Oreochromis niloticus: one gene and its partners. The protein of the gene in region 3 purifies or fractionates together with the protein of the main gene of each other region. This does not show direct contact. Links are inferred from orthologs where the notes say so. Each region holds a gene or a part of one and is shown on either strand. Other genes may lie near its edges.

What was found. The genes of interacting proteins can lie anywhere in the genome.
Region 1: the proteins of mink1 (region 3) and strn4 purify together in Homo sapiens (affinity purification with mass spectrometry; 3 studies listed by BioGRID and IntAct, with this or other methods). This does not show direct contact. The link is inferred for Oreochromis niloticus from reciprocal best matches to the Homo sapiens genes MINK1 and STRN4.
Region 2: the proteins of mink1 (region 3) and strip1 purify together in Homo sapiens (affinity purification with mass spectrometry; 3 studies listed by BioGRID and IntAct, with this or other methods). This does not show direct contact. The link is inferred for Oreochromis niloticus from reciprocal best matches to the Homo sapiens genes MINK1 and STRIP1.

The regions. Positions count from the first base shown.
Region 1 is NC_031979.2:21,854,246-21,862,862, reverse strand, and holds the start of strn4 (striatin-4), read left to right. Parts: upstream 1-5,305; 5' UTR 5,306-5,653; coding exon 5,654-5,974; intron 5,975-8,617. Other genes in the region: ribitol 5-phosphate transferase FKRP, read right to left, coding at 2,296-3,885. UniProt on the Homo sapiens protein: Calmodulin-binding scaffolding protein which is the center of the striatin-interacting phosphatase and kinase (STRIPAK) complexes.
Region 2 is NC_031970.2:21,898,766-21,906,982, forward strand, and holds the start of strip1 (striatin-interacting protein 1 homolog), read left to right. Parts: upstream 1-4,905; 5' UTR 4,906-5,081; coding exon 5,082-5,192; intron 5,193-7,627; coding exon 7,628-7,697; intron 7,698-7,800; coding exon 7,801-7,875; intron 7,876-7,972; coding exon 7,973-8,107; intron 8,108-8,194; coding exon 8,195-8,217. Other genes in the region: S-adenosylhomocysteine hydrolase-like protein 1, read left to right, coding at 76-154, 319-439, 599-605. UniProt on the Homo sapiens protein: Plays a role in the regulation of cell morphology and cytoskeletal organization. Required in the cortical actin filament dynamics and cell shape. Part of the striatin-interacting phosphatase and kinase (STRIPAK) complexes.
Region 3 is NC_031975.2:11,260,896-11,268,330, forward strand, and holds the start of mink1 (misshapen-like kinase 1), read left to right. Parts: upstream 1-3,918; 5' UTR 3,919-5,280; coding exon 5,281-5,337; intron 5,338-7,435. Other genes in the region: pld2 (phospholipase D2), read left to right, coding at 1-91, 319-436, 551-775. UniProt on the Homo sapiens protein: Serine/threonine kinase which acts as a negative regulator of Ras-related Rap2-mediated signal transduction to control neuronal structure and AMPA receptor trafficking.

The DNA of each region.
Region 1 (8,617 bases), on a different chromosome or scaffold from region 3:
AGTAATAGTTAGGTGGCCTACACCCAACTAAGAACTTCTGGTAGTAATTTCTAAATTCATATTTATTTCTTTAAGCTTCAAAGACATTTGTCATATTTAACTTTGTAAATGCTAATAATTCCAAACGTCCTTTTTCCAGCTTCAACTCTTCTCTTAGCAACTTGTTGGATTTGGATATTTTTAGTTATCACAATCTCTTCTATTTGGTGTGAGCTACAGTTTTAAATGTATTTTTTTACTACTTCTTTTAAAAAATGTTTATATCAGTGGGGAAGACTTAAGGCTCTGGAGACAAGTCGTTAGATCATTGATGTTAAAGAGATACTGTCTGGTGTGGCGATGTATCGAAGAGAGCAAATACAAGTCCGGCTGGCCTGGAACTGACCCCCTTCCCTAATAAACGCCTGGCTATTGAAGTACCCAGATACGGTTTTTAAATTAATGAAAGTAATATAGCACAATATTATATTTTTCCATCCATATCAACTGTTAATCACTATCTTATATAGACCTGAGTAGGGCAAATACTGTTAAATCCAAAACCAGATATTTTTTTTAAGCCCGCTTTCCTTGTCAGCCTTTTCGTTAGCTTTACAGAATTTAAAAAGACAATCATTTAACTGCAAGCTTGAGGTCTTAGCATTTCGTATGTCATGAGAAATTTTTTTTTTTTTTTTTTCCTTGCTTGTTCCTTTTGTGGTGCAAGATTACTTCCTGAACTCTTCCATTATGTGGCTGTCTGGCTTTGTTTGTTTGTTTAAAGTGGGCTACGATTGTAAAATAACTTATTGTCTGAATGTACTGTCAGCAACCTTTCAGCAATAAATGTTTTTTATATATATAAATAAGAGGATGTGGCTTTTTGTTGACAATAAACCCTGTTTTTAACTCTTACTGCAGAGACTAGTCAGAAGCACACAGTAATACAAATCAATAAAGACACAAAATACTTTGTCTTTATGTTTAGAGATTGTAAAATAATGCAGCCTCTCACTGATACATAAGCCTACATTAACCAGGCCATATATGAATACTAGAAGCAACAAAACTATGTAAACACACCTCTAGGGATACAATATGTAGAGCAACAACATGGGAGAGGCTTGATTGTAATGCTAGTTTGCGTCACACGTTGGGTTTGTGATGAACATGTGAGCCGTGTTCCTGTAGAGTTGCATTCCTGCCTCTAGTGAAACACTCCACCCTTTGGTCAACACAGCACTTGGTGTTAATTTGGTGTGTTGCGCCATCTAGTGGCAACTGCTATTTACAAAATACATGAAACTGTTATTCTTTTATTGTAGAAGTACTTGAAATGATTTGACACCCTAATACATTAGATACAGGAAAAACTACAGAAATCATGTGGCAACCAGGGGAACTGAGTAGTATACTGAATTAAATTTCCTTTTCATAGTATTTATTAATATGTAATTATTTATTTGAATTCTAAGGCCTGGTAGAGCAATCGTCCATAACAGCATGAATGACACAGGTGTGCTTCTCATTTCATTAGATGGAAGTCTGCTCAGCTGCAGTTACCAGCTGGCTCTACCACAAACTAACATTCACTCATAAACTGAGACGTGCAAAACAAGGCAACAGAGTTCAAAAATCAGAAAATACCTGTTAGGCTAAAGCCACTTACTTAACACACACAAGTCTGTATAATACCTTAAATCCTGCTTAAGATAAAATACATTTTAATTTTAAAAAATCGTTTTTTTCAATTATCTACCTTTTTTTTTTTAAATTACAGCAGTAGTAGTTCAATGTTTCTGTACAACACATACACACCACAGCCTTATGTCAGTACACTAGTGTATGGATTTAAACTTTTCAAGTGTGTCTTTCAAACAAAACGCTACCGCTCAGGCAAATAAATAACGTGTGTTCAACATTAGACTTTACATCCGAACCACAGGAAGAACAATCTAAGCATGCAATACACCGTCTTCTGATACACATGTGGTGAAGGTAACAGTAAATGCAGTCGTTTTGGCACCGTATTAAACCTTTTTTCACACATGAACTCCAGAAAATGTTGAGACGATTAGATGTGGATGTCACACAGACACGAGGTGCTCGACCATTTACGGTCAGATAAGACTGTGTCGGACATTTGTGCTCTCACGTGAATCTCAGTTTGGTAATGTCTCAAAGCATTCAGGGCTGCAGTGCATGTGTGAAAATGGCTTTACTTTCCAGACAATATCTTTCACAGAAAATTATTTGAGGCAAGATTTTCTTTGTATGTAGGTAAACCTAAATGGGTCTGTAGCCCTCCGGTATGACTCATAATTTGCTTCTGTCCAGTCTCTTTTTTGCAGGGTTGGGATACTGGGGGTTCTCAATCACCCCCTCTCCAAATTTAAGTTCCAAAAAGGCTCTGTGGTTGTTAGGGCCATAGGCAGTGATGCCAGCAAAAGGCATGGGTACCAGTGGCTGCAGGAAGTGTTCTGGGAACTCCACATCTTGTTTATGTTCAGTCCACGTATCTTTGGTCATGACGCCATTACGTGGATAGAACGGCCAAAGGTCAACGTGCAGGTGGTTAGCCTCACTGTACTGGACCCTGTAGAAGTCTCCTTCCACCGCACGCTCCCACACATAGCCATTAGCATCCACCAGAGAGCCTGAGTCCAGGTTCTTTAAATGATCGCAGTTGGGTACATCCTCCAGGTAGATACCAAGGTCTACATCATAGTCCCATGGGATGATATCTTGATGGCGAACGGCGCCCAACAGAGTACCTCCCTCTAGCCAGTAGCGCACACCTGAGCTCTCCAAGATATTGATAACATACTTGGTGGTTTCCCTGAGTGCTCGCAGACAGCAGGGAGGTGTCCAGCGGTCCAGATACAGATAGTCTGGAGTGTCATCCTGCACAGTGCCAAAGCAGCGTGGTGTCTCTTTGCTGCAGCCGTACCACTGTTCCCTCCCATCAGGCAGCAGAAGACGCTTCAGACCAAAGCTCCTCATTAGATTCCCCGTGGCCTCCTTCAGTCGAGTGTCAGCCTTCCACTGGTTGTGAGCAGAGCTGAAGAGAGGCCGATGGTTTGCAGAGAAACAGGGGCCTTCCAGGAGTTTGACCTTCCAGCCTCTCAAAGAAGTCTGGATGAAGAGTGAGGAGAAGAGAGGCCGTCCAAGAGGGACAGAGAGGTTAAAAAGATCCTCGGTCCGAATGAGTACGACTGCATCTCCCTGTAAAGCTGTACATACACTCCCACTGCTCCCTGATGCAGCTGTTGAATAGATAGCTGTCCACTCTCTGAGGTTCACCCGCAAGTGGAGACACTGCACAGCAGATCGAGCCAATACGGGCGCAGCTACTAACCTCACAGGCCCTCCACCCTCTCCTTCCAACTCTCTGATTAACCTCTCAATAGCCCTTGGTTGCTCCAGCTCCACTCCATCAGGCACTAGCAGCACAAACTCTGTTTGCACATGAAACTCAGGCCTGTGAGCTTGTGGTGGTTGGTCTGGGCTGGGGGACAGCACAAGAAGCCGAGCACCCTCCGGAAGCGCCAGTGGAGGGTACGGTGATGTGTCAGCTACAGCCAGGAAGGGAAGCTCTGGCCTCTGGTGAAGGAAGGAATTAGCAACATCCCCGACATAGTTTTCAAAATGTTCAAATTCCCGAAGAAGAACAGTTACACGTGGGCCTCGACTGTGTCCCTCCACTCCAACCACTCCAGGCTCACCTCCAGCTCCTGCAAGTAACCCCCCGAGACCAGAGGCTGGTAGGGCAGCCCTTCTTGTGCCCCTGCCAAGTTCTTTCCTCTTCTCCATCATTTGCTGCTGGGCTCGGGACACATAATAGAGAATGAGGAGGTTGAGGATGATGGCGACAGTTAACAAGCCTTGACAGAAACTGATCCGCATGGCAACTAATATTTGCTTTGCAGTTTATTTCAGGAGAATAACTTAAGTTTGAATCAAGAAATCCAGTGGCTGGTCTCGGACCCCCATCAGTGTAACAGAGAGTCGCATGCAACCTGTAAATGACAGAAAAATGTTGCGTTTTGGTTCCAATACCACAGGCTTACGTGTAAATATAATGTATTGATCTGCATATGTATATCAAAATTCGCACACAGGATATTTAATTTAAACAAAGTAGTCAGTGAATGACCCAAGCCATAATCACATTCTTGTGGAATTAGGACATGACTGCCCCATGACAGGTTTTCTTTTATAAATAAAATATGTCTAGTTGCATTAGAAATGAATGAAAATAGGATAGTAGCAACTCACCTTCATCTGAATGCATCTGTTTTATTTCATATGAGACAATCGTTTGCAGGGCCATCATATCATTCAGAAGTTAACAGAGGCTTTACCAACGTTAAGCCAATTATGCCCGTTATGCTCGCTATATGTGGATTTCATGATGATCTTTTGGAGCTGGTAGCGTAGTAGCTACCGAGGTTGAATCGGCAGCGGCAAACACAGATATTAACTTGAGTTTAGCTCATATTTGTACGGCTGTGGAAGAAATAGTCTCCAATATTTTTGGAAGAAACTCACACTTAATGGTCAAAAGAATATTTCAAAAGCGCAAGGCTTAACACAATCCCAAACAAGAAACCCAGCTGCACGAATTTAGCATGAAGCTATCACGCTGTTGCCCGCAGCAACAGGACAACTTCCGGTTGGAATCCTTCAGAATAAAGCTATTCTGTCCAAATTTGGAAAAATCTATGAATTTAGCTATTTAATGAAAGGCACATATTTTACGCAATAACCGCTTCAGAGTTATCCCAGTTACCTGGCGTCTATACCTAATCTCTTACGTTTTAAAAGAAGAAAAACATATTGCTATAATATAAAATATAAGATATAACTACAAATGTTATTGCATACGTTATAAGGATATAAGCAATATAAAAAATATAAATATAAAGATGATATGAAGAAAAATTATAATTCACGTTAACTTGTTATATATTACAAATGTGTCCCCAAGGCTTTTTTATTGTTGTTTTTGGTCTATGGCTGTTTTCATTTCACAATTTATTCCCCCGCACCCACCCCCAAAAAAATCAAAGATAAAATCTCGACCGGAAATAGCATTGTTGATTATTGTAGCTAACTTTATCGTTCCCGAAACCATTCCTGCTCACAAAATGGCAGGAAATTCATTCCCCTAGCGACATATTCATTGTCTATTATAGAAAACATGGCCCTTTATTTGTCACCCGCACTGGGCATTTCACGAGGAGGAAACTGATCTGGGATCCGGGATATACAAAATAAGAGCAACAAAAAAAAAAGGAAAAAAAAGTTTACGCTTATTTTCAGGTGCATCACATTTAATAAACGCTGTCTGTTGTTACTTTATTTTGATGTTAGTTTTAAGACTGGACGTAACACTTTTTGTGAAAAGGGATTTGTTACAAAATCAACGGGGCAACGATGTTACACTGCGGTTAGATTGTGTTTTGCGCTGAAGGTTTGGAAGCGGAAGTGTATTATTTTACCAACAGAATAGTAATTTTTCTCTGTGCGTGTGAGAAAGGAAGAAAGGAGGGTAGCTTATAGTGAAGTGGAGCTGGGTTTGGAAAAGGGCACGGGGTACTTTTTTATATTTTTATTCGTCCATTCTGTCCGTTCCCATCTCATTATCCTGGCGAAAGGTTGAATAGTTAAAATGGAGGCGGACAGAACCGGCGGAGGATCTAACCCGAACTCCGGAGGCGGCGGCGGCGGCGGCAGCAGTGGAGCGGGGCGCAACCCAAACGGGCCTAAAGCAGGACCGGGCCAGGCGACATCAGCTGGTGGGACCGGGGCAATGGCAGCGGCCGCAGCAGCAGCCGCTGGGGCCGTCTCTGGACCGTTGCAGCAGTCACGGGAGCCGCAAGACGGGGAGTCGGGGATGACGCTTCCTGGGATCCTGCACTTCATCCAGTACGAGTGGGGACGCTTCCAGGCCGAGAAATACCGCTGGGAGGCTGAGAGAGACGAACTCAGGGTAAACGTATTCATCATTAAACCCGGGTTTATGTAGCTGTAACGCCAAGAAAGGGCCTGGAAGGATTTGACCGGAGCTCCTCCGGTGTCGCTTCGCGGATGTACACATGCCCTGCTATCGGTCAGTTAGAGGATGACAAAATGCTAATAAGCTAGCATTACAGTTGACCAGGATGCGTTATTACTAGACAGTAGATGATAATGTGGGAGCTGTTTGACCTCCAGTTGAAAGAAGCCACCAATACTCTTTTAAACATAAAACATTTTTGTGTTAAAAAAAAAAAAAATCTATAGATATAGATATATATATAAAGATATATAAAAATATATGCCTCCTGGGCTTCTAAGGTCGATACAGTCAATACAGATACACACCACAAGATTAGATAATAGACTTTTATGTCTTCCCGGAATAGCAAGCAAGCTATCGTGCAAATAAAAAGGTAGGCAAACAGTTTAGGTGTGGCTATCTTGTCTTTCCATATTATTTCATGCAGGTACACATGGAACTCACGCTTTCTGTCACACGTTATTTTAAGATTTTTGGCATTTTACTAGGATGTGCAAATACACGTTAGTTTGTAAGGAGACACTTATCTGATTTTTCGTACTCCACAGAGACAACTCAAGTGATCTGTGGGTGTGTTGTTGTGGTTAAAAAAATGATAACAGTGCTAACCAGCTGTGATTTCCCTTTGCAATTGCTGCATTCAAAATAATAAGTGAGTAAGCATTCCTTAACTGCCCTTACTTAAGACAATTCTCCCTAAAACAGTAGTTTGATTGCTGTAATACGTATTCATAAAATAATTTGCACAATGAGACACAATGATCAGTTTGACCTTTGAACTTAGGCACACAACACAACTAAGTCACACTGAGATGAAGTTCCTGAATGGATCATGCGTTGTGATCTGTAGTACCAATGCCTCCATACCTATGGCACACACACAAATTAGCATTTTGAGCTAGGACCAGTTACACACACACACACACACTCACACAGTCAATCAGTTGTGTGGTGTATCTGTGTCTATGTATATATGTATGGAGTAAAGTTGTATTTTCATTAACAATGATTAAAACATGAGTATTGATAAATAACAAGTGTTAGGATGAAAATTTGTAGTTGTCTATCTGCAGCCAAACTTGCGTTTGTATATTTTATCTTTACTTTGTATAGTGTGTTATTAGTGTGTGTATATAATGACCTTAAAAACAATATATCTGCCTATAGGCTAGAGAAGTGGACTATCATCCTTAAAGGTAAATGGTTTAAAGCTGTAAAATGCCCCCCCTAAAAAAAAAAAAACGAATGTGAGCTTGTGACTCTGTGCCATAGGAATTCCCATGAGCAATACCTGAGTTCCCTGAAGGTCCTAGTTATTCAGATGCCAACAGCAAAAGACAGACGTTGTACTATTCACCTCATCTGCATGCATAAAATTAAAAGGCAGAGCAATACTGGGCAAGTTTGTGCATACTCATCAGATTTTTCCAGGATTAAGAAAAGTTAGGAAAACATACAAACATATTTTAACTCTGCGTTTGGACAGTTCATCTTTTCATTTGTGGTTATCCCTCAAGTAACTACAGTGTTTTTGGTAATAAGAATGAACTCCCCTCTTGAGTTCATGAGTTTGACAAAACCACAGGAAAAAAACCCTCAAAAAACCATAAAATTTCCCTCTCCTCTGTCATTGTGCTTCTCACATTGCCCCTAACTCAAACATACATAGTTATAAATAGTGGCTTGATAAAATATGAATGAACAATAACAAACGGGCAGCGCTTGCTGCTTTTATAAAAACGAGGGATGAGTGGGAATGGAAAGCAGAAACAGCGGATTGCTGTGTCCGAGGTGCTATTAAGTGCTTGTTATGGAACTTTGTTTGCGTTTGCACATTGGCTGCACATGGTCTGGCTTCACGGGTACAATTAGCACCACGCTTGTGCTGAGAGAAAGAGAAGATAACTGGAGTGCCATGCTGAAAAACTGACCTAGCTTACATTTTAACACCCACAGGCCAAAGGCCTCTGGCTTTTGTTGCCAACTTGCTTGCAGCTCTCCTCTCACTGAGCCAGTTATTGTGCCCCCTGGTCATAACCTGAACAGTTAACATGCTGTAAATGTTTCCATAGTGTAGTTTGCTCACATGTTGCCTGCACATGGTATTTTACACACTTTATTTTCAAAGGCTTTACTGAGTCACATGCAAAATTAACTCACAATCACTTGAGATCTGTGTGACTTTGTGTGCAACCTAGTAGATCTCTTCATGTGGAGCTTAGCATGTCTCTGCGAGATCACGACACGTGTGCCGCTACTGTGACCGTGTTGGTGTGTAAAGCCACCTGTGGTGCTGTGTCTTCACTGACAGGTGGCAGTGGCTTTTGCCTGTCTATAATTCAATCACTTAAGAAGCCGCTCTGGCAGCAGTGTTGTTTCTAACTAGGCATTGTTTTTGCATGAGCACAATTCTAATTTAATCTAAAGACTATTCCTCAGATAGTCATGTATTCTACAGGGAAAAGGGATGACCTCAACCTGTTCCTCTTTAAAGTGTTCTAATTTCCAGTCATTTCATTTTATTAAGCATGTCAGTAGACGTGTAGAATAGATTACTGGTGACCCAATTTACAT
Region 2 (8,217 bases), on a different chromosome or scaffold from region 3:
ATTTAATCCTGCGCTATTCATTAAATTCATGATTTGCAATTATATTTCAGCAGTGTTATTGATGTATGTTTTCAGGCTCTGGCACTCATCGAGCTGTACAACGCTCCAGAGGGACGGTACAAGCAAGATGTTTACTTGCTTCCCAAAAAGATGGGTAAGGATTTAAATACTTAACCACTGCCTGTATTATTTACACGTTGGAAGCCGACAGGCATTATTTATGGACGGCTGCAAGAATGGAGTGCATGAACTGACAGATACACATCTTCTGTGTGTGCGCCCATTTCTTTCTTATTAAAGGATGTCTTTGTTTTTCAGATGAATATGTTGCGAGTCTGCATCTGGCCACGTTTGATGCCCACCTGACAGAGCTTAGTGACGAGCAGGCAAAATACCTGGGTCTGAATAAGAATGGCCCTTTTAAACCCAATTACTACAGGTACACTTTTGCACATATTAAAATTTTGAAATGGGGAAATATTTTGAAACTTTTATTAACTTATTGTTATTGCACTAGGTTGTTTGCCAACACATAAACATTTTTTAAGAATTGTGTTTCATTCACATTATCTGTTTTTGTTGTTGTTGTTGTTCACAGGTATTAGTCTGTCACCTGAGAACAACAGCATGTGGACGGTTCCTGATTAGTACCCGACTTCCAGGCAAAATAATGATTTGTGTATTGTATTTTTTACCCTTCATGGGATGCATAGCTCATTTACTTGTATTTTAGTGACTGTAGAAAGTTTTGCTGCTTTACCAATGGCACCCAAGCTGGCTATGAAAAGTGAGGTGTAAGCACTCTGCTTATGTGAGATAACACATGCAAAAAAAGGAAAATATATGATTTTTTTTTTTTATTGCATGTGTTTCCATTCTGAAAGCTGTTGAGTATATCAGCATATTGTGCCAAATGACTGTGAGAGGAGGGTTGTGGTTGTTCAGAAATATTAGTTGTTAAACATGTTAAACCCACACGGAGCACTATTTTTGTATAATCATTCCCTCCATGTACTGCAAAACAGTCACTTAAAATGCCAAACCCAGGAATCTCAGGAGCTTACTGTGCTTTTTATGCACTTTTAGCTCCTTGTTTTGGCATTCTCATCAATATTGTGCTTAAAACTGTTTGCAGTCTTTTCCTTAAAAAACAGATAAGCCAACAATTGCAAAAAAAATGTGACATGATTTAAACTCCTGGTTGTTTTTGTTTTTTTTCTATCTCAGGAGTAGGTGGACCAAATCGGAGTTGAAAGGCCAGTCAATATGAGACTTATTGTTACTTTTAAACTAGCCAGTGATTTGGCATTAATCAGATGTCAAATCAGTTTTTCCTGTGTATCTGCTGAGTAGGCAATCGTTTGCTTACAGATGAGCCATAATAACCTGATGAGCTGACTGTAAATCAAAGTTTTGTTCCTCTGAGTATTTTTACTGTCCAGCGGTCAGAAATTGCTCTGTGCTGCTTTAAACGTTTCTTCCTGCTTTGATATTAAAGCACTTAATCACCTTATACATTCCATACACAAGATACACTCCTGTTGTAGTATCCTCACAATTAGTGCTAACCTTCACTGGGCCTAACAGAAACATAAGCGCTTGTTGAGCAGAGTAAATGTAAGAGCTTGTCATATTTTTTTCTTGAAAAAGAACTTGTCCATTTATGAGGTTTTGGTGTTTGGTGAGAGTTATATCTGTACCTCAGGGCATTCAAATATCTCTAATTATTTGTAAATATATGTCAACGCATCTGCACTATCTAATCTTAGTATTCATGCGTAATCAGTTGGTTTTGAATTGAATATTTACAGCATGTCTGTAAATTGGAGGGATATAATCATGTCTGTGATCCATGTCATTTGTCAGGTTTAGCTGTTCAGAGTAAATTGAATTTGGCGGTTATGTTACATACAGCACATTTATACTGTACATACAGCAGCCTCTGATGAGCTGCTCTCGTAATGCCGTGTCTTGTTAGATTTGTCTCAGGACTCTGTTAAAGAATGCTAACAACAGAAAAGTAACTGTCGTTTCCTAAATGCTCTGGGACTAGACACGGATGAGCTTTGTTGTATTAGCTTTACCTCCTGTTATCTTGTGGTATTATAGTTATTCTAATCCAACACAGTATGTGTGTTTCCAGAAGATTATGATCATTTTAAAGGCTTACGCACTGTGAGGCGTAAATGTTTGTGAGGCTTGTTAAATGCAAATTCACATTTACTCTGTTATATTCACATGTGATATTTTTTTAAACAGTGGGCACTTTGGATGACTGAGTTGAGCGACTCATTTTATGTCTAAACTAGGTATTACACAGATAGTTGTATCTTGTTGAACTTGCAGCTCTTCAACACATTTCATTGTGCTGTACGAGAGGATGGTCGCTAGTCATTAATTCTTTACAGTTGACAGCACTGCTGTTCCTCTCAAGTGTTTGACACCTTGTTACCATTTTAAAGTAACGCTCCACATGACTGAGGATCCTGTTTCATCACCGCACTAAGCATAAACCTGAATTTATAGAAACTGCGTATTTCATTTGTGCAGTAATTTTCAATTTTAAATGAGCAGGCTGCCCCCCCCCACCTCCCAGTTACTCCTGTTGTTTATTGAATAGTAGCCTACAGTGTGCTACTGCAAAGTGCTTTTCATCTTTGCACTAACAGCTTTAAGGGCATTACAGCCAAGGAGGACATCATTTTCAGTAAAAGGAGTGCTGCAACCATGGTTACTGATCAGTTGACAGTGCCTTGTAACTCACTTAGTAATTTATATTCACATGGACCATCTGTGCGTTTTCCTTTTTATCCATGTTGATGCCCGTCACAGTTATTACCCTGCAATATACAGTTATAGCTATGCAGCAAAGAATCCTCAGCCTTTCTTCTGGAAAAGTCAGTGTTTCACAAATTCCATAAAAAGTTATGCTAATAATTACTGTAAACAGTTTGAATAAGCAGCATTTTACATTCTGATATTTACCTTTTACATTTATTGTGATGGGTTTTTTAATCTCTATGTTCTTGTAATAATGGTACATTTACTTTCATAATGGCACTCGGAAAATGCTTCGCTTTATAACTAATAGTGACAGTCACTTTAACCTAGTTGTTCCTCTGTTATAGAGACAAATGAATGTTATATTACTGGCACAAACAGCTTGACTTTTGTTAAATTGAAGTTAATCAGCATACCACTGTGATTTGGAAGCTGTACATTGTTACATTTGAATACAAGGTTGTCTACATTATATAGTACCTATAATGTTTGCTTATTTTTCAACTTTGTTTCTAGTTTGTTTCATAATGTCAACTGAATACAGCTTGTTAAATTTCTCTTCACTTTCTCCTTTAATAAACTCCAGTTTAAATTTGAAAATGGCTCAGAAACATCATTTTCCTGCAGACAGACAATAAGCTTTACACAATTTGATTGAGTTTAATGTATATAGCACCAAATCACAACAACAGTTGTCTCAAGGCACTTTATATTGTAAGGTAATGACCCTACAAAGAAAACAGAAAACACCAAAAATCATATGACCGCCTAGGAGCAAGCGCTTTGGTAACAGTGGGAAGGAAAACTGTCTTTTAATAGGAAGAAACCTCCAGTAGAACCAGGCTTGGGGGGGGGGAAGGGGAAGGGGAACCATCTGCTGCAACTGTTTGGGGATGAGGGGAGGAAGACGAGACAAAAACATGCTGTGGAGAGCCAGAAATGAATACTAACTAATAATTAAATGCAGAGAGGCATATAAACAGATAGTGAGTGTTTATTCGCTCACTAAGGCCACAGGCAAAAATATGTGGGTAACAGTGACAGTGAGCCAAATGGAACAATAATTTTCTTTATTCTGATTGAAATGAACACACAATTTTATTTAGGCATATGTCCCTAACTGGGGTGACTGTATGCCAGGTGGAAGAGCAGGTCATTTCTAATTGCAAGGTTGGTCCAGTCTGCATACCAAACATCCCTGAGCAAGATACTAAGTCCAAGTTGCTTCTGATGCATCCATCAAAGTATAAATGTGTGTGCATGTTGGACAGGAAGCACTTACCTAGAAAGAGCATAGGGGGGAAAAAGTGCTTGTATGAATGGGTGAACTAGTTGTGTAAAGTGCTCAGAGTAGAGAAGCGCTGAATAAGAACTAGTCCATTTACCATTTAAAAATAATGTAATTATGATGGTTACAGTTGTGATTAGAAATTTACATCTACTCATCATGGGCATGAATGATGCGGCAATTTGGGGCTTTTAATGATATCCTGTGAACAAGATTGTAGAGCATACATCTTTAATGACTTTACAAAAACAAAAACTGGTTGCACAAGCTTTTATTTATTTGGGATTTTCTCTAATGCACACAGGGTCAAAATATTATCGTCCCTTAGTAAATTGCACTTCGACCAGATGCTTTCGGTAGACATAAACAAGCTTTTGACATAATTCTGGCCGAATATTAGGCCACTCTTGGCAGAAATGTAGACTTCATTTAAATTGGTTGGTTTCCTGGCTCTTAAGTCAACAAGAGCCAGGAAACAGGACTTAGCTCGGGGCTTTGGGAAGTCCCTTCCAGTAGCTAAAAAACCCCTCCCAAATAAATAATTTAAAACAAAAAAATTACCATCACATGCATGCACCATGATAAGTGAATGCAAACCTCTGACCACACCTTCATCCATAATTTAAAAAAAAAAAATGCTATTTATATATTTTCTTTAATTAAAAATGTTTTGGAGAATTTTAATCATCTTTAGATATTTATCCATCACGTAGAAGAGAAGTTTCTGAGTAGTCCCGCATTAATTCTACAGTACGACAGATCCTGTGAACTTTCTTCATCCAGAATGATACCTGCAGCAGGCTCTGCTCCGACTTCTGATCTCATCATCATGGCGTCAGTTCGGGATTACATGAAGAGGCAGAGAGAAATTCATTTCACACAAATTCTCCACAACCACACCTCGGGTCGCTGCTGCGGACCTTCGGACAAGATGCTGCGGATGCGCTGACGGGAGTTCGACTGTCGCGTTCCATTTCGCATCTCGCGAGAGTTCACTGGGCCCCAAAAAATTATGGACGTCGGTGGAAACGGTAGTGGGCTGCCTGTAAACAATAAGCAGAGAGCTATGTTACCTAACAAAACCAGGGGCGAATTTACCCGCAATCAAAGAAAAGATTCAGAGGTACGTATCCAGATGCTTATGGTTGATTTCCAGCGTGTATTTTTTTAGCTAAAGAGACGAGGCCTTTCCTGCTGCTAGTGTAAAGTTAGCTAGCTCTGTCATTGTAGCCCAGTTAGTGTTTCTAACATGATTCGGGAGTTAAGAGCAGCAAACGACCTTCATTACGGTGTTTGTACGTGTACTTAGCTGTACGGTGTTCCGTTTGTTTTCCAGTGTTAACACATTGAAAAGCGAGCAGGAGACAGCTAGCTGACGTTAGCCGGCTACAGGCCAGGCTTGTGTATGTGTCAGGAATCTAAGGACCTGTTGAAAACTGATTGTTTAGGTCCTGCTTAACACATTTAATCTTTCTAATGCGACAGTCGGCTATGACAGTGTAATTTTACTGTATATATGCAAATTGGTCACTCATCTGTGTGACGTTTAAAGAAAACAAGCTGAGTGTTTCCGTGTAGTGGTTTAAATAGCCACTGGAGACAGTCATGGCAGCACTGCTTCCCTGTCTGTCTTGAAGAGGTGTATTATTTCCAGTCTTTTCTTGAAAGTAGGCTCACAGTGGCAATAGTAAATCCTCTTGTGTTTAGTTAGAATAGAATAGAATAATCCTTTAATTGTCCCACAAGGGGAAATTTGGTTGTATCAGCAGCAAAAAAACACACATATACAAAAAGAACAGGACACAGAACAGAAAACAAAAAACAAAAAACACAATTTTTACATATTTACATCATGGACAATAGTTACCAGAGCAGAGTACAGTACAGTTGTTAAAATTAGCGTACAGATAGTGTGCAAACAGAGCAGGATACTGAAAGATGTTTAAATAGTTAAGAATATTTAGAATAATTAGAAAAGTGCAGATTGTGTATTGTACCTGTGCATTAAAAAGTAGACATGTAACTTCCAATAAGTTAGTGTATATATAAGCTGAGAAAAGTAATGTGCAGTTATAACAGTAGAAGTTGTTACAGCACTGATGTAAACATCTATGTTTGTTGGGAGCAGTTTTGATTGTACAGTCTGACAGCTGCAGGGAGGAAGGACCTGCGGAAACGCTCCTTCATGCATCTAGGATGCAGCAGTCTGTCACTGAAGGAGCTCTGCAGTAATGCTTCATGATGGCAGCCTCAGTGTGTTACTGTTGCTTTCAGTGTTGCAGCTGGTACACATAATATTGTTTATTGATTCATAAACTTTATATTACAAATCAGAAACTACATTAACTTGTCTGAAATGTAAATTATAGAATAAAAGATTATAGAGTTGTCAGTAATAGATACTCAAGTACAAGTTTATTACTACTACTATTGGTACAGCTTTATAATAAACAGTGCCCAAAGCGGTTTATGTAACCAAAATATAGTGAGGCGTTAAAGTAACTGACATCAGCTGTGCACGGTGTTTATGGAGAACTGAAAATATAATTGACTGAGTGTTCCAGAACTAAGTAACCCAACAAACCAACAGTGTCATGAAGAAACTTTCCAAAGAGAGTAAGCAGACTGAAAGTGGAGGTTTTATAACCTTCACCACTCCCACCACTCAGGTGCACTCAGTCTTAAACAGGACACAGTGCTATTACAGCAGTGTTTGATTGCATCTTATTTGTTACTTTGTGCTCCTGAACTACTTTAACAGTATTGCTTGTTGTTGCCAACCGGATGTTTTTATACCTTATACTGTGCTTTATAGGCATGTATAAGGTGGAGAACATGCCTGATTAAAAAAAAAGATGTTAAAAGATGTAAGCTTTGTTAGAGAGTAGCTGCCAGCACAGAGGAGTGTTTCACCTGTAGCTAAATACTAAAATGTGGGGAAATGCAGCTAAATGCATTGACTCAAGTACTCTACAAAGGAAGATCATAGTGATTATGATGCATTGCTGTAGATAAAACAACCCAACAAAAATGTATTAGCTCAACCAGCGTTATCAGCAGTAAAAAGCCTCAAAAGACATTAATGCGGGAGAAATATTAATCCAACAGTAAAATACTAACGGGGGACATTTTTACTACACACTTGAAGTACAAGTTACTGACTTACATGTGTTAACATAAGTGGGCTTTTAATCCAGAAGGTTTCCTAGTCAAATTTATTTTTTGATATTGTAAATTATCAAAATGCTACTTCCACCACTTTCTCTTAGCAAGAGTCACTTGGACATTTTGGTGCTTTGACTCTTGATGATGTTGCTGTTGTTATGGAGAATTTTGGAAAGGAAATTAAATAGTACTAACTAAATACCACCACTTATTAAATGAGAAAATAGGTTTTTATGTGTTTGTGTGTAGAGTTTGGGTAATGTGACTTCTTAACATCAGTCGGATGTGATTAAATTTGCCTTGGATTTATTCATTAATTCATTTAATTAAATTTTTTTTTTTTTTTTGTATCCAGTACCTCTCTGTCTAACCTCTGCAGTGTGTTGTGCACAGGGGCAGTCTGAGTCTCCAGATCTGGAGTTTGAATATTCGGACACAGATAAGTGGGCTGCAGAGCTGTCAGGTATGTGTGTGTGTGGGTCTGTGTGTGTGTGTCACACTTTAAGAACCTGTAACCACCTAAAAATGTGTGTATATTATTTATGAACTCTTCATGTGTGTTGCAGAGCTTTACAGTTATACTGAAGGACCAGAGTTCGCTCTTAATAGGAAGTGCTTTGAAGAGGAATTCAGAGTTCATGGTAAGCACTTAGAATATACATACACGTCAGCCATACAAATAAAAGATGAAGCAAGTATGCATCTTAGTTTATTTTCTTCACCTCTGCTGTGGCTTAGTGTCTGATAAGAAGTGGACAGAGCTCGATGAAGCTCAGCACAGAGCTCACGCTATGCGCCTGTTGGACAGTCTTGAAGTCACTGCCCGGGAGAAAAGGCTGAAGGTTGCCAGAGCCATTCTCTACATGGCTCAGGGTCAGTCCATCACACGTTTCCACGATTTCAAGTAAACTAGAAAATAGTTTGTCTTCATGTACTGTCTTCTTTTTTTTCTGTTTTTAGGGACCTTTGCTGAGTGCAGCTCT
Region 3 (7,435 bases):
TGGAAGATGAAGAGAGGGTCCCATCCATAATGGGAGGGGAGGAATACCAGGCAGGACCACTGACACTCGCTCTACGCAAAGAGTGCTTCAGGTCAGGGCAAAAACCTTTTGATGACTTTTTAGCAACTTACAGTTTAAAGTAGTGCTTGCTACCAGGTGTAAATGAGAACAAGAGAGACATATAAGTATAGGGTCTTCTTTTTACCAACAGACAAGCAAAAATATTTGCATGCATGGGAAACCTGTGCAGTTTTGTGATTGCTTAACCATATTGTTTCTGTTATTTGAATACTTTTGGCCTTTTCTCCGCTTTACCAGCGTTCTTGTTGGAGCTGCTTCAGACCCCAGTATCAATATTGATGATCCAATCAGTGATGAGTTCTTCTTCTTGGTTTGGAATGAGACAGCTAAAAAGAATGTCAACATTTATGACAAGGTGTGGATTGAACCAAAACTTTTTTTTTTTACATTTCTAATTGTATCAACATGTATTTTCACTTCTCTCACCACTTTTTGTTCTTCTTGGCTCTCTGGCCCTACTGTACCACAGGTGTTCAGGTGCCTGCCCTGCAACAAAGTCCGTAGCATGCAAGACCTGAAGGACTATTCGAATGTGGCTTGCCTCTGCGAGACAGACCCTAAGCAGGCCAAAGAGGAATTAAAGGCCATCCGAGGACTGCTGGTCCATTTCCCCTTAAAGTTCCTGTGTGAGGAAAACTTGCTGCCTCCACGGAACACTAAAGAAGGCATGGCTCCTTCAGAGCTGTGGACATAAGCAGCAGCTCAGCCAGGTTCAGACCACTACATGACAGTGCAACAAATGCTGTACTGCGGCCATCTTTCTTGTCGTTCTAGTTCACCTAATAGTCAGCACAGGACACAAAAGTAGTTATAGCACCAGCACTTGAATGGTGAGAGGTGGAGGTGGAGTGAGGTAGAGAGGTGTTACCCTCACCAAAATTTATTAATGATCCAGTTATGATTACTTTGTCTTTTTGACTGACAATGGGCTAATGTGACTGACGTAGCCACGGACATGCAAATTTTACAATGATCTGTCTATATTAGGTTGTGCTGACCAATTTGTTTGTGATGTCTGCTTTATAATGTGTTCAGTGCGATCTGATCTGCATGTCTGGCGGCGGTGCAGAGCACAGATAAATGAATGTATGAGTCAGGAGAGGATTGCAAGGTTGTATTAGAAATCAAGCATCTCACATGATCTGGGAACATAGTGTACATTTATTGGTGCACGATTTTTGGGTGGGTGGGTGTCTCTCTCTCTCTCTCTCTCTCTCTCTCTCTCTCTCTCTCTCTCTCTCACTCGCTCCCTCTGAGGCTTCACCTCTCACTGCAGTGCCAGAAAATCTGTCAGAACATTTGTGGTTGTTATGGTGACGGATATAAAGAGATGACTGGATTGTAGCTGAAATAAAGACTGGATAGGGCAGAATAGGGAGAGTGCTGATAAGAGGTACAACTTACTAAATCAGGATGGTGCACTGGGAAAATGGAAGCTAATATTCTGCTAGGGCTGCTGACCATTTCTGGATATATGATCAGGTGGCAAAACTGTGAGAGGGGAAAGAAAAGCAGAACAAGATAATTAAAGGGTGTTAGGTTGATTTCCTCCTAATTGTTGCATTTTTTTTTTAAGTCTCCATGACACCCTAGTGATTTTTTTTTTTTTCACCATGCTGTCGACAGTCCAGAACAGAACATTCCACTGCCCACTTGAGACCACTGAATATCTCAGCTATTTTTATGTTGCGTCCAGCATCTTTCATGTGTACCGTATGTTACATTTGCTCACAGACATAGCGGTTTGTGCAGGTGCACGCTCACTTGAGTTGTGACGTGATGTCGTTTTCACGTTCTCACTGATTGCCATTTTGGGGCATCACAGGGCTATTTTTTTGAAATGTCATTCCCTTGAGCTGTGACCAAGCCGTGACTGCTGTTGGGAAGTCTTTAAATGTGGATACATTTGTAGCATTGCTGGTGAAAATAGACAGGAAACCTTCCCTCTTTTGTGTCATTGCATTGACTGAGATATCATGTAATAATACAGCAGTAAGGTACAGTATGTGCCTTAGAAAAACAGGAATTGGATTCTAAGGGTTGATGGAAAACCAAGGCGAGGGGGAATGTACATTTTTCTGCAACTTTAGATTGTGCATTCAGGCAAAACTGTAACTCTTTTTCAACATTTGAGCGCTGGGCCAAGTTTTAATTACATGCACTTTCATCACAAGTTTTTTACAGGAACAAACAGCAGAAGGGGACATAAAGGCCAGTCTGTAAAACTTGTGAATGGGACTCTGTTTTATATTCCCAGCCTTGTGCTAGTGTTATGACTACTGTGTGTGTGTGTGTGTTCTGGGGGGGGGGTTGAGCCCTGGCACATGTTTCTTTTAAAAAGACCAGATAAAAGATGACCCGGAACAATGCAATGACAGCAAATCACAGTTAAGTGAATAATGCAGACTGTCGTATGAGCTTCTGACACACACCTATGAGTGAACAACATTACCTGGGCGGTTCCACTGCAAAGCTGTCTGTGAATGCGACAGGCGCCCCATGCGACCAAGTCTACATGAAGTGTCTCTCACAGGATTGTTGTTCAATTAAAGCATCTGTGTTTAGAAATATGAATACTTACCTATGTAAGATATTAAAAGACACTAGAAGCCCTTCCATATATGTATTTGCTACCCTCTTTCTTGCGGCCCAAAGTGGTTGTCTTAACTGGTGTTCCTTTTAAGTTCTGCAGAAATGCCTGTAATATACCGAAAAGTGACCTTATACTGTTTCTCTCATGAATTGTATTTTTAAAAGACCAATAATCAGCATTCCCAAACCACTTTTATGAATTTATTACTCATTGAAATGTGTTTGTGTTCGTCCCTGAGAGTCACTGTGTGAAACCTTGTCTCTGTAGATCAATGTCATCACCTTATAATTACCAATGTATAGGGTTACTAACACTCAGGGGTAGAGAGCGATGACGAATATTCTTAGTCTTGTTAGTGCAATTATGAGCAACTTGTATTTTACTCTGTTTTTTTTTTAACATGAACTTGTTTTTTGTGGCTCCGAATATCTACTCTATTTGAAAAATGGACTTTTTTCAGCCTTCTCTTGTATTACTTTTGTAAACGTTAGTGCTTTTTTAAAAAAGTAAAGACTGCATTCAAACTGGATTTAATATTTAAAAAAATAAAATTTTCAAATGTAGTGTATCAGCATGCATTTCTATTCTGTATGAAATCTTAATGCAACTAAAATGACTGTTTAGACGTGTCTATCACATGGCAAGAGAAACAGAAAAGGGGAAATGTTAATTGTTTATATCTAAACTACTTTTGTCACCATGGAAGCAATATCCTTTGTTAGCTGGATATCCTTTAAGCAAATAGTTACTCTGAGAGAGAGAGCATGTGCTTTACACAGGAAAATGGTATTCGTGGCATGAAAGCTTAATGTTCACTAAATGACTAATGCATTGTTCAGGTTATTGCCATACAGTCTGGGGTTTTTTTTCTTTTAATAACAGTCAGGTGCTTATCTAGAAAAGCTTTGGAACTGATTCATGCAGTATTGACAAGCACTATAAAGGTGAGCTTGCTCTAATGGAAAACTGACTATAGCAATCTCCAATCTGCTGGATGACGCACACATAAAACCAAGACGAGGAGAATATTTGTTAGATGTGGCCCTTATTACCAAAATCTGCATTGTTTATTCAGCAGTATTTTAGCCTTAAGCGTGTGTCCAGTGACCCAGAAGGCCAGAGCAGGACAGGTATGCCCAGGAATGATCTCAGCTGTGCAGCTCAAACAAGATAGAGGCAGCTGCGTAGGCTGAAGTCCACTGTAATTTCGGGTAATTTGTCCCTGATGAAGCACCGTAGCCAGTCGAGAAGAGAAAACACTTCAGGAGTGTTGCGTGCAGCCAATCGTCAGTACAAACCCAACAAGACTACATCTAGGCTGCGAGTGGGAGGGAGGAGTGGACTTGGGAAGCAAAACATGGCGAAATAACAAGTTTGGCGGCTATACCGCAGTTAGAAACTGCACCGATTCTGTCAGTGGCGGACTATGACTGCAAGTTCATAAAATCTGGACGCCGGAGATCGACAGCAGCGCTCAACTTTGAAGCGTCGAGTGCTCAGGCTTACAAGTATTACGGTGGCTGGCGACAACACAGTGCCTGCTCGTCTGCCCGTGTTTTCCCCCGGAAGGTTGGCAGTGCTAGGCGCGACTGTCAACACAGAAAATGGATGAAGAAGGAAAGGGAAAGTTTATTCTGGAAAAGACAATTTAGCTCGCTAGCTTAGCTGCGTTAGCCAGCCGGCCAGTTAAACATTAGATTAACCGCACACACCTGACTCGGTATTCGGATTATTTGTGCGCTCTGGACGAAACCCGGGGGGCGAATTTAAGTCGCGTTAACAAGTTTGACAACTGCAGCCGCAGGGAATCGCATTTGAAACGAGGCCCTTTTTTTCCATTTTTTTTTCCTCCCCACGCTCCTAATCTGTGACAAAATCCCGGGAGGTTTAAGGCCAGCGATGAGAGCCTGACGGTCGGTTCTGGTGCGGTGCGGACGGACCCGGGGACGCCATCACATCAGACGTTGCGTTCTCAGTAAAACAATCACTGCGCTGCTAAACCGTAAATAATAAAAAATAGCATACTTTATCAGTGTAAGTAGGAATGTTTCAGTGGTACACAACACCTGTCTGGTAGTTGTTTTTCTTCTCCCCCCTCGGTGACACGCATCGGTGTATCATATGTGAGATTAGCTGGGATGTTGGAGAGCAGGGGAGAAGCGGCGTCTTGTCAAAATGAACGCAGCAAGGTGTTCAACAACAGCGGAGGTGCTCTGCATTTGAAACCTGCCAGTTGTTAGATCGATATCAAATGGGCGGCTAACAGCGACGTTGACAGCCTGTCTAAAAAATCCTACTTTTTAAGTTGCATGCGATTTGATTAGCTGTCGCAGGCGGCATTTCTGTAAAACAAGTGCGAATAACATTTACAGCTTTCGGCCAGAGTTGACGTGAGCTAGCCAGCTGGGTGCGTCTGTCCGCTCTATCTGCGATGCATTTGCTAATCTAAGTGCTACAGCTCCTGCGTGTTGGACCGCCACTTTGCTGTATTTCCTCTGGGTTTAGGCCGTTATAAGCTCGCGTGATCGGCCGCTTAAATCCCCCTTAAGCACTTCTTGTCAAATAAGTGGCTAACTTATTAGCTAGCGTGATAAGTTTCGCCAGCTATGTCTGAAAACGCCCCCACAAGAAGCCTGGATGACATAGACCTCGCAGCTCTGAGGGTGAGTATTGTTATTACCAGATAAGTGAATTGTAAAATGATGGCAGACGGACTCATTAGATGTTATGTCATATGCCAGTTCGCCTCAGACACAAGCACGACCATTGAACACCCACGCGAAAAAAGTTAAGGTGGGATAAACATCAATCGGCCTGCGTTATAGGCAGTACAGTCTGTACACAAATCCTCCAAGTATATGTTGGGATTTCTCCCTTAAAGGACCACCTTACCCAGCCCTGACAATGTTAATTTGTAGGTTGAGGGGGAAGAAAAATAAGCACCAGTATCTATAAAACACTGGGCCACTGTGTGATTACATCATGTAATGGGAAGGCTGGTTTATTTAAACTACATTTTGTCTTCTGGTGGTATTTTCTTATGGAGGTTTATGACTCCATAAGAAAAAGGCACATCTTTCAATAACTGATAACATTCTAATATTGTAATATTGTTGATATAATGTAACATATCAGACTGTTTGTGAAGAAATTAGACCTGGAGTTTGTTCCTTTTGTATTTTAACTGGTGTCCCATTAAAGGTCCCAGTGTGAAAATCCTACATCCAACATTAGAAACTCTTTGAGAGGCAAGAAATCTGTCACGTCCCTTTTCACATTTCTCCCCATCACTATGGAAGCTGTCAAGAACATGCAGTATTTGATGTGGCAGTAAATCCACTTAAGACAGACCAGCTTTATGTGTGTGTGTATATATATATATATATATATATATATATATATATATATATATATATATGAAGAAGTGTTATAATGCATTCACTCAGTGCTTGTTTGAGAAGAATCTGTAATGTCTAATGTTTGACTGACTTTTGAATCCCCTTCTACAGTTAAAGTGATCAAAAGGCTACCCAATAACTCCAATTCAAACTATGTTTAAAATAATACCATTATTTTCTTGACAAAGTAAGAGGGTTTCATAAGATTCCCTCTGAAAAAGATGAGGAATTTCTAGTATTTCAGTGTAGCTCTCACATGGTAATGGGGCTAAACAGATCAGGATATTTTACCCAAATACTGATTGTTTGGGCAGGTTTGTCCTGTTTCCCTGACCTTCTTCTGAGGTTTCACCTAGAAATTTCACCTAAGCCTTCACTAACAACACAGGCAGATGTGACCTAGTTTCTAAAATTTGTAGTAATGATTTAATCTTGCAGTTCATTTAGTAATAATTTATTGTGTATTTAAATAGTGGATCTAGTAATTTAGGTAGCAGTTTGCTTATAAGAACAGTTGGGTAGGTGCAAAAAATGGCCCAGGGTTTGTTGCCCACCACAGCTGAGATGTGGAAATAAATAGTAGTTTGTTTGTGATTCTATCTATGGCTGGGTTTTCCACTGAAGAAAACTGACCGTGTGATGGCTGTGGCTCAGGTGGTAGAGCAGGTTGTCCATTAAATGCAGAGTTGGTTGTTTGATCCCTGGCTACATTTCCTTGGGCAAAACACTGACCCCCAATTGATCTCAATAGCATGACAGCTCTGCTACTATTGATTAATGAGTGAAACAGAACCTGTAAAGATGTGTCTTAGAGAATTTATACTTAATGCTGCACTAGGGAATAGTGATTAAGCAGGTCAATGACTAGTCATTTATTTTTAAGGTTAAGTTACTGGTGTGTTTGAACAGGGTAAACAATATTAATTTACCTAATTTTTTTCACATCTTAGAAGTTGCGCCACCAAAATCTACATGATAAGCCATCAGAATAAATAAGTGTCAAATTGTTTTTGTAGTTTTCTCAAATGACAGTTATATTTTGATATTTTGTTTACTGTCATTGTAACTCATTATCACTCATATATTTTAATTTGTCTAAAAGGGACATTGCACTATTATAAACATGAGCGTGAAACCCATTTAATGTAAATATGCCAGATTTAGCTCTATAGGCTAATTTTCCTCTGCAATCCATGGCAGGTTGATAGCACTGATCAACATTAAAAGAAAATCATCTGTGTGTGGAAAAACAAACAGAGCCATGTAACATACTGAACAGACATTAAGTACCACTTATTGTATAAAACTCAGAACAAAAAACAAAAGTAGATGCATCACAAAAACATAGAAGTATGCGTCAGAT